Styela clava: one gene and its partner. The protein of the gene in region 1 purifies or fractionates together with the protein of each later gene. This does not show direct contact. Links are inferred from orthologs where the notes say so. Each region holds a gene or a part of one and is shown on either strand. Other genes may lie near its edges.

Region 1 (7,259 bases):
TTTTTATTTTCGCCTTTTCATTTTATTTTTTTCATTTTTTTTTAAATTTTACACGTGACAACGATGGGCCACCATAGGCCAAACTTTTAGGTACAAATACTACAAAACTCACTTGGTTAGGCCCTGAACTCGTAATAGAACTAAAATAAGGAAAAAGGAATAAAATTTTGGCCTAACCCTAACGTGATACACATACTACGTTCCAGTGTCCTCGTTTCTTGGTACGCATACTTCAGGAGTACGGAAACTTGACTGTAAGCACATACATCTTAATCGTCGTTCTAGCTGCTGTGTTTCTTCAATTGTTTTCGTATTTCATGAGTCCTATTGTCCATCTTGTTGTTATTATTTTGGCTGCAGTACTTTGCGTATACATTTGCTCAAATTTTTTGAATACTTCCTCAAGTAGTGTTGTGGTTTGAAAGGTATTCGCTCATGAATGATTTGAAAATATTTTTCTTTTATATCAAGTGTCGGATGTTCAATAATGTGATGACGGAAATAAATTTCAGCTGCTTGCATGTGTTAAGATAGCTTTTGTATAATCATTGACTCTTAAAAAAGTTATTTATAGATTGGTTTGATTAATTTCTTGAGCAGAGCCCTGTGTTTCTGGGTTGCATTATTAACAGAAATTGCTGCTCTACCTATGCATTCCAGATTGTTGTCACATTCACAGAAGCTGCAGTGCGCAAATCACTGGTTCTTCGTTTCGTTTGACGCCGTTGAATTCTTTCTCATAATCATCACGGCAAATTTTTTACGTTTACTCATTTTATCTCTTATGAAGTTCCAAATCTAAACTAAATTTAAAGTTTTATTTACTGGTATATTCATTTATGAGGTTAAAAATCAGGACGTCAAAATAAAGATGTTTCTTAGAAATAAGGACAAATATTTCCTAAAACAAAAACCTTCAAAATAAGGACAAATTCTAAAAATAAGGACGTTGTGGCAGCCCTGATTATAGGTCAAGTGGAGAAAAAACTACTGTGTAAGCTACAAAACTTGAGATGGAGTGAGACCAAAATGCTGTGCTACTAAGCGTTTTTTTTATATATATTGTGCAAAGTATTCATTTTCATCACCACTTTACCTACATCTGACTGACATTTTTTGCAATGCATCGCATTTTTGATGCCTTGCTTTCTTTGGACAAGGAAGTTGTCACATCATCCTGGTCATTTGCAAGACGGACTGTGTCTTCATTTTCACAATTATTTGTTCATTTTTATCAAATTTCTTCGTCCCTCAGCAAATATTTCGATCAGTCATCAATGAACAGGGCTAGTTTTCGAGCTGTGATGCAGGAGCGTCGTCGTCGTTAAGCATCTTGTCTGAACAAAACCAACCGTAACGCCCGCCACTTGGAGGTGCAACATCACCTTTGTTTGTTTATTATACGGCGAGCGGAGTTGGACATTTAGTAGTAGTAAATATTTACGGTAATACAAACGATTTACACACTCAGTCTTTTACTACCTTCTATGACGTTATCGCAAAACAATCGAAGCCATTCTCAGATTGAGAATTCGTTAAGGAATGTATATTATGTAGGCCTAGGGTCACCATATTTTTTCGACTTCAAAGCGGGACGCCACCAAAGACACGACCCCTTAGCTGTGATCCTGTAACTTTACAGTTTCCGATTTGACTACATAGGCCTGCATTTAGAGCCATCCCGGCTCTCTTCATTGACCATATTGTCATCGAGAGTTCATGCGCATACTCTCTGTCCAAATATCGGGTTCAGTTCGAAAAATAGAAAGGAACAGACGCTAATGATACAAATTATCCAAATTCAAATTTTTTGCATGTACAGCAAAAGGAATAAAGAAACAGTCTGTCGTTTTCAAGCATTGAGAATTTATTTATTCGCCCAAGCATGCTTTTCTGTAGATAACACCTTCAAAAAGACGTTGTTCAATGTTACATTCACGTGAACGTCCGAACAGGACCAATTAGATTTGCATTTACATGTGATACGTTCGCTAACAATGTTAGCGGGAAACAACGAAACAAACAAAACATTCACACCTTCAGTAATTATAGTAGGCTAGCGTTGCGTTACACAGCAACAACAGTAACGAGAACATGTTCGTGTATTATTTCGGCACAGGCACCGTCACACGACTTCTAATTGTTTTCACCACTTTTGCTCATCAAAATTTATTTACAATTTTACAAGTAAGCTTTGCCCGTGAATTATACTCTCGGGTGTTCATGTACATGCTGTTTATTAATGTTTTCAGTAAAATTACAATGATGTGTTTTCCACTTGTGTGAGGTAAATGTGTGGGTAAATGGGCACAAACGCTTACAGCGTTCGCTATAAATCTTCCTCTAGGTTTTGCCCATTTCACCGATCTTTTCGTCACCATTGTCTGTGTTTTTATTTTGTGTTCTGTGTTATCAGGTTGTAGACGAAAGATCAAAATAAAATTGCCCTTTTCCCCGATCTTTTCGTCGCCATTGTCTGTTTGTTTTAATTTTGTGTTCTGTGTTATCAGGCTGTAGACGAAAGATCAAAATAAAATTGTATTGTTGTATTGTATTATGCTGGATGTCTGAACGCCAAAGCGGAACTTTTGGCTGACTTGTCGGGACGGCGGGACAAGACGCTAGAAAGCGGGACTGTCCCGCCTAAAGCGGGACGTATGGTAAGCCTATGCAGGCCTATTGTTCGGGTTGTCAATGATTTACGTCCGGAAATAAATGAAGTGTTTGCAAAAATAGCCTGTCAAAACAGACCATACCTCTTCATGTCGAAGAGCTTGAGAATTGTATAGCGGAAACTTTAATTGCAAAGGCGGGAAATTTTTCATCGCATTACTTGGCGCTTGACGAAAGCACTGACATCAAGGTTACTGCTCAGTTGGCGAATTTGGTGTGCGGGTATCATTTGTTTTTTTATCAACCTATAGTCAGTGTAGCAAAACTAGAACATAATGCTATGTTAAGAGGCCCGCGCAATTATTAGTAAACTACGTGTGGCCCTTCGGCCAAGAAGGTTGAACAACCCTGGTTTATAGCGAACGCTGTAACCAGACCGAATTCACCCACACTCACACAAGTGAAAGAAACACATCACGACAATTTAACTAAAAATCATATACAGCATATTAAAACTCGAGAAAGTAATATTCACGGGCTAAGCTTACTTTTACAGTTTTATATATATATATACTGGTGAGTAATAGTGGTGAAGATTGCGAAATAAGTAGAATGAGGGTTATGTGTCGGTACATGTGCCGAAATGCGAATCCTAATAATGACATCTAAGACTAAGTGATTAACATTAGCTGCTGTTTCTCCTATTCTTAGTAAACAAACAAAGCTTAAAAAGTAAACCAACAAATGTAAAAACTCGAAAACTAGTTTCGGGCGTTGTTCTTTGTTTAAAAAAATGGTTCGAATTTAGAAAGTTTTCATATAAAAATTTATAATCTTGAGCATTTTCCAATGATGGTCATCCATGAAATTAGCTTTTTTTAACCAGTTCCACAAACCAAAATCTCCAGAATGCAGACAGGTCGGCTGATATCCTTAGTAATCTAACATCTCTTTTCGTCGAACGCTTGAGAATCCAGTTGTGAAAATTTTGTCTGATCTTCAGTTCAGATAACTTTTGTTTCTTTATGATTATCACGAACTTTTTCTAAAGATATCACATTCCCAGATAAGTAGATAACAGCCCTTCCCATTCTTTTTTCCATCAAGTACATTGAATCAGATCTTTTCCTGTGTCCATTCCATATACCACGTTTCAATTATAAATATTATTGCCGGTACCACGTAGATTTGCCATCAAAATTCTAGCTCAGAAAGCATAATAGCACATGAAAGCAAGAAGTTAAGTCTATGAAATTGAACTTTTTAGAAGCGGAGATTATTAATGTGAATCGTTATCGCAGACCAACGGTTACTCAAATGTGAAATGCATTTTCCTTGAAACGCTTACATCAGTGATTTTCAACCAGCGTTACGCGAAATCCTAGGGTTCCGCCACTACAATCCAGGGGTCTATATGATTATGGTACTATATATTATCCAAATATAATCAAGTACACTGGAGAGGCCGTGGTTCGCCATATGGATAAGCCGTCTTATCGGCTTTCCTTTCCCCCGGGATAAATATGTAAATCCTATCCTTTCATCCTATCGGTACCTTATACACGAGGCGAACGAAATTTTCTTTATATTTTGTTACCGAGTGCATTATTACCAGACTCCTTCCACCAGGGCGGCTTGAATGGAACAACAATAAATAACACAGCAAAATCTCTATCTTTGCGAGTGCGTAATGCGTGTGTAGCCGTTTCGCGGTGGCTTCTCTTCTTACTTGATTTATAATAATTCGAGCTGCGCGAAATCAATGGTCGACAGAAAAGCAAGTTCACAAACAAGGTATTACTGTAGTTCGTATTCTAGATTGGTACCGGTACGGTAGGCTATGGTTTATCGTGCTAAGAGTTAGGAATACCTTACTCGCTGACTCTCGTCATTTTAAACCTCTGCCTAACATGTTATGTTGTTTGTTAAAACTGATGTGGCCAGTTTATCTACTGCCAAACCGATTTTTGTTTTTAAGTCTCTATTTTCATTATAAACTACCGTGTTTAATTTGATGGTCAAATCTTCTGATCTTTAAGTAAATTGTACCGGTACTTTACAAATTCGTTCACTGACATTCTAATGCTATCATGTAGTCTAAAAACTATCTCAAAATCTTACCTCTTTTGGTCCTCATTACAGTAGTTTAACTAACTATGTAACTATTACTGTTTCAAAATTTATTTTCAATTCATTTTAGAAAAAGGCTGGCGAAGGCATTGCAAGATGATTTTTGGGATTGTAGCGTCTGTACCTACAAAAACTCTCCCGAAGCATTTAAATGCTCTGTGTGTGATGTGCGGAAGGGTATTTATATACATGCTGACATGCATTTCATTTAATTGATGACTTTTAAGATATTTTTTAATCAAAATCTTGCTCTGAGTAGTTCTACATGGAATGTATCAGAGCTTATGTCAATGTAAATTATCTTGGGCTAAATACAACATGACATTTGCAGGAACATCAACAAGAAAACCAAGATTGAATCAGCAAATAGTTGCTCAGCAAGAGGCAACAAGATTAGTTACTATAACCCAAGTAAGATATAAAATTGCTTGCCAAATGTTAAATTAAATAGTTTTAATCATTTTTTATGGGACCTAAGACAGACATTGCCAAAACTGAAATTTAATATGAGGTATATTATAAAATATGTCACATGTGAGATAGAGTAACTGTTTCTATATCTCTCTCTTGCCTTTTTTAGAATGTCCCCAAATAACAAAGTCATTTTATTTTTTATTATTCATATTTTATCAATATATCGTGACATATTGACGCCTGTTTTACTTTACCCATTCAATGCCACTTTTGGTGTGTCCAAAATACCTAGTTTCAAAGGAAACTTTCAAATTCTTATTCCTGAAATGAAGAATTTCCAATATCAAACAACAAATTCCAAATATCCAATTTATTTTAGTCATGCCGCGAAATGCGACTTTACTTAGCTTATTGTAAGGTTCCCCTTTGTCATCAAAAATTCTGTGCTAAAAGATGTACCCAAGAACCTCTGATGTTCTTTTCCTCTTAGATCTTTCTCTGGCAATGTTGAATCGATCATAACCTCTTTCTGACATCTCTATGGGCGGTATAATCTCACCTACAGGTCCTTTTAATAAATCATCAATTGCCACTTGGAACTCTCTTATTCCTAGTCTTTCCACTTGGCGCTTGCCTCCTTGTTATAGCTAACCTGCAGAAAAACAAATATCCTAATTCTGTACCATACTAAAGCTTAAATATTAAATGTACGGTAATTAGAATTTACCAAGTACTTTATCTCAGGTGCCTCAAGCTACTCTTGTCCATCCTGCTAAAAAATTGAAAGAAGAGTCTGACAAGTCTCCAGAGCCATCAGAATATAAGAAACGAAAGAGAAAGAAAAAAGCAAGGTTTGTATTCATTTATCATCAAGGCAAGAAATTGGCGTATTGTTAATCTCTTTCAATAATGAATATTTGAAATGTTTTTTTGTCTGATTAAATTGCATTTTTACAGATGCCATATAAAAGGAATAGACAGAAGCTCTGCGGATACTTATACCATCACAGTAAGAGACAGTAGCATCACTTTTACAGAATTCAAACCGAAAAAATAAACACAGTATAGAATGAAAACATGAGTGAATTGACACTTGGTTCCATTCTCTGATTTTAGATATCATTTCATTTTATTTCGTTTTGACAAAAATTAAATACTTCTGGTGTCAAAGTGTTAAAACCTATGGCATATGATTAGGAGCCTGGCATGGAAATAAATTGCTCCAAAAATAATGTTTCAGAATAACTTTCCTGATCATCGCTTTGGGTGCCACATTTTAGCATATTTTTTCTCTTGGACCGAATGCTTCCTACAATTCTTTTTGCATGTTGAGATATTTCATATTTATATCTCATTGCTGTTGTGATCATTGCTTAATGTCAATGGTGAATGGAATGGTTTGTATATTCATAGACCGGACAAGCATTAGTGCAACGAACACTTCATTCCATATGTAAACAAGCCTCCAATTAAATTTGATTGTTAGAATGTCAGTGGTGTCATTGGCCTACTGACTGCGTTTTTTTCTTTAATTTTACTTTAAACTTTGTAAGTGGTACTGTCTGTCTGCTTGTTTAAATATCAAGCCTAAGGGATTAGCCATATAACATTTTATTTTGAAGGCAATTTAACATTTTGTATATATTTGTGTTACATCCAAGAGGGCTTAAATATTTGCTAAGGACAGACAGTATGAGCCTGACTTCTGTTTGGATTTTTAACTATCTGTTATATCATGTTACTAATTTTCTTAATAAAACAGTAGCTTTTCATATGCAAATTGGTTTTGTGAGGATTATCAAGTTTTCAGCTATGAGAAATGGTGGCATATGTATGAACAATAAGCCACATGGGTGGAGTAACAGAAATCTGCCGTTGGAATAGCTTTCAGAGTCATAGCCTAAAAACGCTACTCTCAGCATACATTAAAAATTATTTGTCATACTTATTTATTTACACAACACAGATGTCGAAAATCTAGAAGGCAGATTTATATGAAGTATTTTAAAATTCTCTCATCCAGATTCAGCCACCAGTTGGGCGTCTCATTATACCATGTGCTCACTACCACCTATATCGACCGTAGCACGCATGTGTCTATT
Region 2 (7,046 bases), on another chromosome or scaffold:
ACGAACCCATAGCATAACGACCATGGGCCCCAAATTATAATAATACATCAAATTTATTAATATAAATACATAAAAGATCAAAAAATACAGGATTGTATGCTAGAATTCAATGAAGCGAAGCGGTACAAAAGGATGTACAGGTCAGCAACTATTTGAGCTGAACTAAAAAGTAAATGTGCAATGGAAGAGAAGAACAGAAATCAGGATAGAATGCACCTCACAGTTTATTATAATGGGCGTTGAGGCAAGTTCATGATGATTGTTGTTGAGCACTTTCATCAGAATCTAATTCACTTGTGTCTCCATTTTGTTCAAATTGTCTACTTGAGTTTTCAAGTTCTCGAACTGAAAACATATCAATATATCAATTGCAATTTACAAAAATATTATGTGTTGGAAATTGCAAATTTTCACAAGAAATAATTAAGAATTCAACAACAGTCGGTCCCTTTCTAAGTGAGATACCCACAACCATTGAAACTGATCTCATTTTAAAAGTTTGCATAAGACCAACAGCGAATTTAATATATATACCGGTATATGCCTAACGGAAATACTCATTTTCAACACTTACTTTGTTGCTCTAATAGCCTGTTTTGCCGCTTTAAATCATCTATATCTTGTTGATGAGTTACATTTTTCCTTTTCATGAGTTGAATATAGTCTGTGGCTTTATTTAAAATTTGTGCTCTTGATGACTGTAAAACGAGAATATCGGTCAGAGACCAAAGACTTATCGATCGAAAGTTAGGGGATCCCCGAAACAGCACTCTTACTCCATAGTGACACCTTGTGTCCCATCACTAATTAATTAATAACTCGCTAATTATACAACATAATTCGCCCAAAATCAATAGGCTTCTGGTCGTGAGATATCGCTGGTATCTAACAGACATACAGACAGACAGACAAATACCTATCAACATACTTACCGATTAAAATCGATAAGTAACAAAGCTCATAAGTATTTGTCTAAAACTGATTATCCACATAATATTGATTACAATTTAGAAGTCACCTTTTCACCCTCTAATGATGGTACAGAATCACGAAGTCCATTAAAACTTTCTTTTATATGATCTCTTCTTTTTCTTTCTAAAGCATTATGATGAGCTCTTTTGTTGGACTTAATTGATAAAAAAAGTTTGTTATAGTGTACATTCACTGAATTACATTAAAGTGGCAACCAAACTTATTGCTCTTATCTAAAGACAATTTTCAAATCTATGGCTAATTCATAAAAACTGTTCAAAACGAATTGATATTTTTGTGAAAACCTATTGGAAATCGAATTCGATAAAAGGATCGAAATCGATAAAAGGATAATTGTCCATCAGCGAGTCGAGAAAGAGATATTAACAAAGCTAACTTTGACTCACCTACCAAAATAAAAAACGACGAATGTAAATAAAGGGTTGAAAACAGTGTGCAAGGTGCGGCGGTGTGGCTCATCGTGCTAAGCGTTTGGAATACGCTCGCCACCGCACCTCTAATTACTCTGCGTGGGTTCGCAGGTTCGAATCCCATGCGGGATGGTTATGTGCGAGAGGATTGCTGGACTCCTCGCCGCCGTTGGGTGGTTCCATGGAATGGTAACCGAACGAGGGGCCGTGGTTCGCCATATGGTTAAGCCGTCTTATCAGCTTTCCTCTCCCCCGGGATAAATATGTAAATCTTTTCTTATCTATCTTTTCTTAGTGTGCATGGAGAAAAAACAACTTATTGTCAATTAAACATAAACACAATATTTCTGAATAATTTGTATAGGGTGTCCAAAAAGTTTTGCCCTATTATAAAGTTTTTATAACCATTTTTTTTTTTAATTATAGAAATGATTTATAGTCAACCTGTATCTAATTGGATGTTATAAATGTTGGATTTTGTAGTCCCCATTTAGCATAAAACAAAATTTATTCAAATTTGCAATTGAGGTTGCTATGAAATCGGGCGAAACTTTTTGGACACCCTGTATGACAGAAATCAAAAAATGAACAGAGAGAAAGTATCTACATACAGGGATAATATTGTTGTTAGATAGATTGTTGTTTATTAAAGCTGAATCTGCTTTTTGTATATAAAATTGATAATACAGAGTACAGATTTCCCTTCAATTGAAATTAAGTATGCAAATATTGGGGCAAACACCATGGCAGCGAGAACATTGTGAAATAAGTTACATATTTAGGCAAACATTGCATATGAAATGTAACAGAGATGATTCATGTCAGCATGGGGGCATTTATTTGCTCTTCATTTTATCTGCATGTCAATAGTACAACCACCCTGTAACACACTTTCGTAACAAACAAAAAACATCTCTGTAAACTCACAGTTCCCATAGCTGGACTTTCACGATCTTCATCCTGAAACAAATTGTTGCTGTGTTTTATTTTTTGCAGTCAAAAGATATTTTTAAAACTTTAATTTTGAAATTGTTTGAAGTGAAGTATACAGTTAATGTCACAATTTCATTCTTCTATCATTTGAAAGCTTTGAGACTCTGCTGTGAGTCGGTACAGGGTAACCCAAAAACAGAACCTAGGTCATTTGGAACACATTCAGACATTCTAGAGAAAACAACTTTTGTGTAAAAATAATCCAGATTGCTGGAACTTTTAGATAAAATTATACACAAACAGAACTTCATTTTTGTAGAATGATCAAGAACTTTATGGATACTATTTTTTTTGTTACCCAAGGAGTTTGATTAGAAGCATTTCATCATGCAGAGCATATAATCTGTCAATCATACATTACAAATACTTTCTCATTACCTCACTTTCAACATCAATATCCACATCATTCATTTCATCATACGATTTTGTGTATTGGTGATCCAGCTTGCTAGTTGGTATTGCCAAAAGATGGAAATAATAATCCTGTTACCACAGATCCATGAAATAAAATACTAAAATGCAGCTTATGATCGGATCAGAATATGATATTAAGTATCGATGCTTTTGTGAAAGCAATCCAAATAAACAAGATATTAATAGCTTTTTATATGGATAAGTAAAAAAAGCGAGGTTACTTCAACACGCACTTGGCACAACAGAGATGCCATGGTCAAATTCATCCGCATAATGTTTTTTATTACAGCTCCTCTCCGACCATGACATTGATCTTTTTAACGAAATTACAAAACTGGTGTTCAACGATACGAATTATGAAAAGAAACAAAATTCTCAAAAACAAGTGAGCATAACTTTTTGATGGAACAATTTAAATTGCTGTTGATGAAAAGTGATGGACAACAGAGCATACTATGGCAGTATAGAGTATCCGTAATAAATAATATACACAATTCATATTATAATCAGGAAAATATAACAACTAAGTTTCCAAATTGAATAAAAAGAGGCTGACAGACCATTGAAAGATATTACAGTGGAAGGGACTCAATTTGGTATCTGATATCTTTTCCCACAAATTTGTGAACAAGCAGATTTTTGGATTGCTAAAATCCTAGAACTGCAGTAACGCAGCTGTAGCTGCTGTTTTTTCAGTAATATCAAAAAACCTAATTGCAATACACTAAATACATGAGACTCATTTGTTCACTCAAGATCTGAAGATTGCATTAGGAACACACTACAGACTGACAGAGTCTTGCATCAAACAACAATATTCCAGCAGTTCAATGATAAATACTGAAATATATATACCGTTACAACTATTACTCTTTTTCTATACACAGTCGGTTATTTTGAAGAAAACATAATTCAGGAGTACACCATACAAACTTTACTTGAAGTAGTTCGATACTAATAACTACAAAACTATCTAAAATGTCATTGAGTTCTGGAATTCAGAAAAGATATACTGGTACCCTATTCTCGCTTTTTAAGCGCATGATGTTATGACATTTGCAACTATTTTTCTGATGACAGTTCAGCAGTTAGGGTAATTCAGTCCGTAGATGTTCGTTTCAAAAAAAACTAGAATCAGTTTATTCAAACCACCTTGGTCACACAAAGCGAAATATCAGAAAAATTTCTCTTTTCTCTCAACTCAATTCTGTAATTCTGTTTTTTTACCTTTATTCAGATCTTCCCAGTAATAAACAATAGGAATAGAATAATTTGAACTATTTATACATTCAAAATCGAGTCGAGTAGCCTAGTTGGTTAAAATTAAAATAAGAATGCTAACAATCAGACAATGGTTTCACCTGTTCACCGACAGACCCGAGACGTTTGGAGGGGTTCGATTCTGCTGTAATAATTTACTACAGTACCGGTACTAGAATATGAACCCCTTCAACACAACAGCTTGTCTATATAAGATATTTCCCATGTATTGCGAAATTTAAGATGACGATAAAACGGGAACCAACACCGAGACTAAAGGAAAGCCAAACAAAGCAAACGACTTATGAAAACTACGGTATTCGCTGAAGTCTCACGCCTAATACACCTAATACACGTGCCCTCCTATTTCATTTTCACAACAACCTCACTTCTCTCACTTCTGTGTAACGGAGCGGTCTGATTGGTTGCGAATCAGTTAACTTCCGCGCTGTGAAAGCAGGTAGGGACAATAAAGAAACAATGTTTAAAGCGCGCCTCGGTATAAACTCGGTGGTCAACGCCTCACTATGGGTTACCGCTGGTCACTCGGTGGGTCACGTGTCCGACTGAGTTGGCCGGAGGCCGTGAGCTTTCTTGCAATTAATTTGGTATATAGTAAACCATGTCGATCATACCGCGAGCTGGACTAGTGGACTAGTCGGCTTGTAAAAATTATATGGGCGATATTATTGCCAAATACGTTTTAGTTAAAGCTATACGTGTTATACCAGTGCATTTACTTCTGTCGAAACTGGAATTGGTTCAAGCCGCAAGAATTGTCTTCCAACAACGCACTGCGTTGACGCAATGCGTTAACGCAGCAACGCACGATTAAGTTAAATAAACAAGGTTTTAAGGTGCGTCAACGCAATGGTGTGAACATATGTGAACGGGCCCTCATGCGCTGAACCCACGTGTTTTGTTTGCTTTTAATGGTCTTGTTTTGCAACTAATACTTCACTTTCGGGTTCGATTGATATCATTTATATGTACCTGTGCAAATACGAACATTGCGTTCATATTCAAGAAATTGATATTTGCTAATAAAGTGAAAGATCGAAGATTTTTATTTCTTTTCAAGTTTTTTTTCCTCGGTAATACACGCGATGTATACTTTTTTGCATATCTGTTAATCTTGCTAGCCATCCGTGCATGTATTTTATTCAACATATATTTATGCAAATACGGAATTGTATTGCAGTTTTTTTTTTTATTTTCTTCGTAACGTGCAGTAAAGAAGACTTCATTTTTTGGCGCTACCATACATGAAACGCAGAACTTGGCATGAAATTTCCGCGCTGTCAGGATACGTGAATATATACAGAATATGTCCAAATCAAGATGAGACCAAACAGGCTAAATGTAGATGAATGCTTTATTACTTTCTTTCGACATTGAAGGGAGGGAAAGCAGAGACAGTTCAGTTCATCAAAATTATTATGTTTGGGGGTCGCGGTACTAAAAGAGTAAATACCAAAGCAATCAAATATATGAACCGTTTTGATAGGTTTAAAGATGGAGTAACGAGGAACCCCTGAAGAAATGGAGAGCGCTTATCTGTTAATCTGATGGGCATGATGGAATTTAAATGGCGAGCTCATGTTTTCCCGTTATGACGCAATAAAGTATCTAAACACATGTTTTGCGTTTCTACTCGTCATAATGTTACCCAAACAGCTGATTACGGATAGCATCTTACCTGGTAACAGCGACAGGCGAAGCAACTTGATCGAGGGACAAATTATATTGCAAAATGGTACGGTGATTTTGATTATATTATTATGTATTTCAAATAATCTTCTTAATTGTCTAAAGTTCTGTATGGATTCACCCTTTTTGCAATGAAATTCCAACTGTTTTCAAAGTTTACGGAAGTTGTCTGAATGATTTCAGGTGCAAATACTGTTTACTATTTATAATTTTGAGCTGAATTAAGTGGGTCTTACTATTTAGCAATGTAGGTGAAATGATGCAGCTTATATAAAATGTGCATTATTATTAAACTATTATATTGTTTTTTTGCTAATGGAATCCGGTCATTTGCAAGACTCGACCAAGTCAAGTTCCAAAAACAATTTCAGACTAGAATTATTATCAATTATTTGGGTGCACAATTTAATGTATTGAGTTTTCATCCCATTTGGTTATATTTTTCTATCAATGAGGTTCAAAAGCGTAACTTTCTTTAGTGACGTAATGTCTTTATACTATTTTTGAGGTCGGAGGAGTGTCTATGAATACTGCTAGTATTGAACACCACTTGAGAGAAATAGGATTCAAGTTCAACGATTGGTATTCTTTTCTGGATCTTGATAATTTTGATTCGGACCATCTTGTTGAAAATCTAACTACTGAAGTAAGATTGCTGTTCGTTTTGTCAAAAATCCTTCTGTATATTGTATTGTTTTATAGCTTTTTGTTTAAAACTTATAAATCTGAAATGAGGAAAGTGACTTCGCACATCTGTAAGAATGCTGTAACATCATCTGTGAGGTGAACGCTAGTGCCGTTTAGTCGAATTATAGGCATCTACGAGTAAAATCCTACCGCTGAACATGGTTGTTGCACGAACACGAATAAGCTCGGCCTTGCACTACGATAAATAAGGTTGTCTAGCGTCACTTGCGTTGAGGATATTTACTACGTTTTTTTTAAAGTGTCTTCCCAATACTTCCAGGGAAATGACGATCGACCATTTCTTTGGAGTAATGGTGAATTTATTGAAAAGTGCAACAACGGGGAAATTTGCATCATAGGTAGGTTTGCAGTATTTTAATTTTTCAGCAGATGCGGTTAATAATTCCATTAGATGCGAGGATCTTTAAAATGATAAGCAGAGATGTGGGAAACACAAATAAATGAACAGACTGCCCACATTTAACTAAAATAGAGAAATAGCGGCTCCTGATGTACTATAGCCCTTTGCTTGGATATACAATAATCCTCACGAAAAAGAGGCAACACCTACCTTGGCTT

What was found. The genes of interacting proteins can lie anywhere in the genome.
Region 2: the proteins of YY1-associated factor 2-like (region 1) and protein max-like purify together in Homo sapiens (affinity purification with mass spectrometry; 3 studies listed by BioGRID and IntAct, with this or other methods). This does not show direct contact. The link is inferred for Styela clava from reciprocal best matches to the Homo sapiens genes YAF2 and MAX.

What each region holds. Positions count from the first base shown.
Region 1 is NC_135253.1:13,466,307-13,473,565, forward strand, and holds YY1-associated factor 2-like, read left to right. Parts: upstream 1-4,246; 5' UTR 4,247-4,375; coding exon 4,376-4,407; intron 4,408-4,813; coding exon 4,814-4,920; intron 4,921-5,074; coding exon 5,075-5,154; intron 5,155-5,901; coding exon 5,902-6,008; intron 6,009-6,114; coding exon 6,115-6,214; 3' UTR 6,215-6,937; downstream 6,938-7,259. UniProt on the Homo sapiens protein: Binds to MYC and inhibits MYC-mediated transactivation. Also binds to MYCN and enhances MYCN-dependent transcriptional activation. Increases calpain 2-mediated proteolysis of YY1 in vitro.
Region 2 is NC_135255.1:8,057,730-8,064,775, reverse strand, and holds protein max-like, read right to left. Parts: upstream 3,009-7,046; 5' UTR 2,808-3,008; coding exon 2,775-2,807; intron 2,364-2,774; coding exon 2,331-2,363; intron 1,127-2,330; coding exon 1,019-1,126; intron 699-1,018; coding exon 575-698; intron 346-574; coding exon 251-345; 3' UTR 35-250; downstream 1-34. Other genes in the region: uncharacterized protein LOC120330631, read left to right, coding at 5,824-5,826, 6,289-6,426, 6,748-6,826. UniProt on the Homo sapiens protein: Transcription regulator. Forms a sequence-specific DNA-binding protein complex with MYC or MAD which recognizes the core sequence 5'-CAC[GA]TG-3'. The MYC:MAX complex is a transcriptional activator, whereas the MAD:MAX complex is a repressor.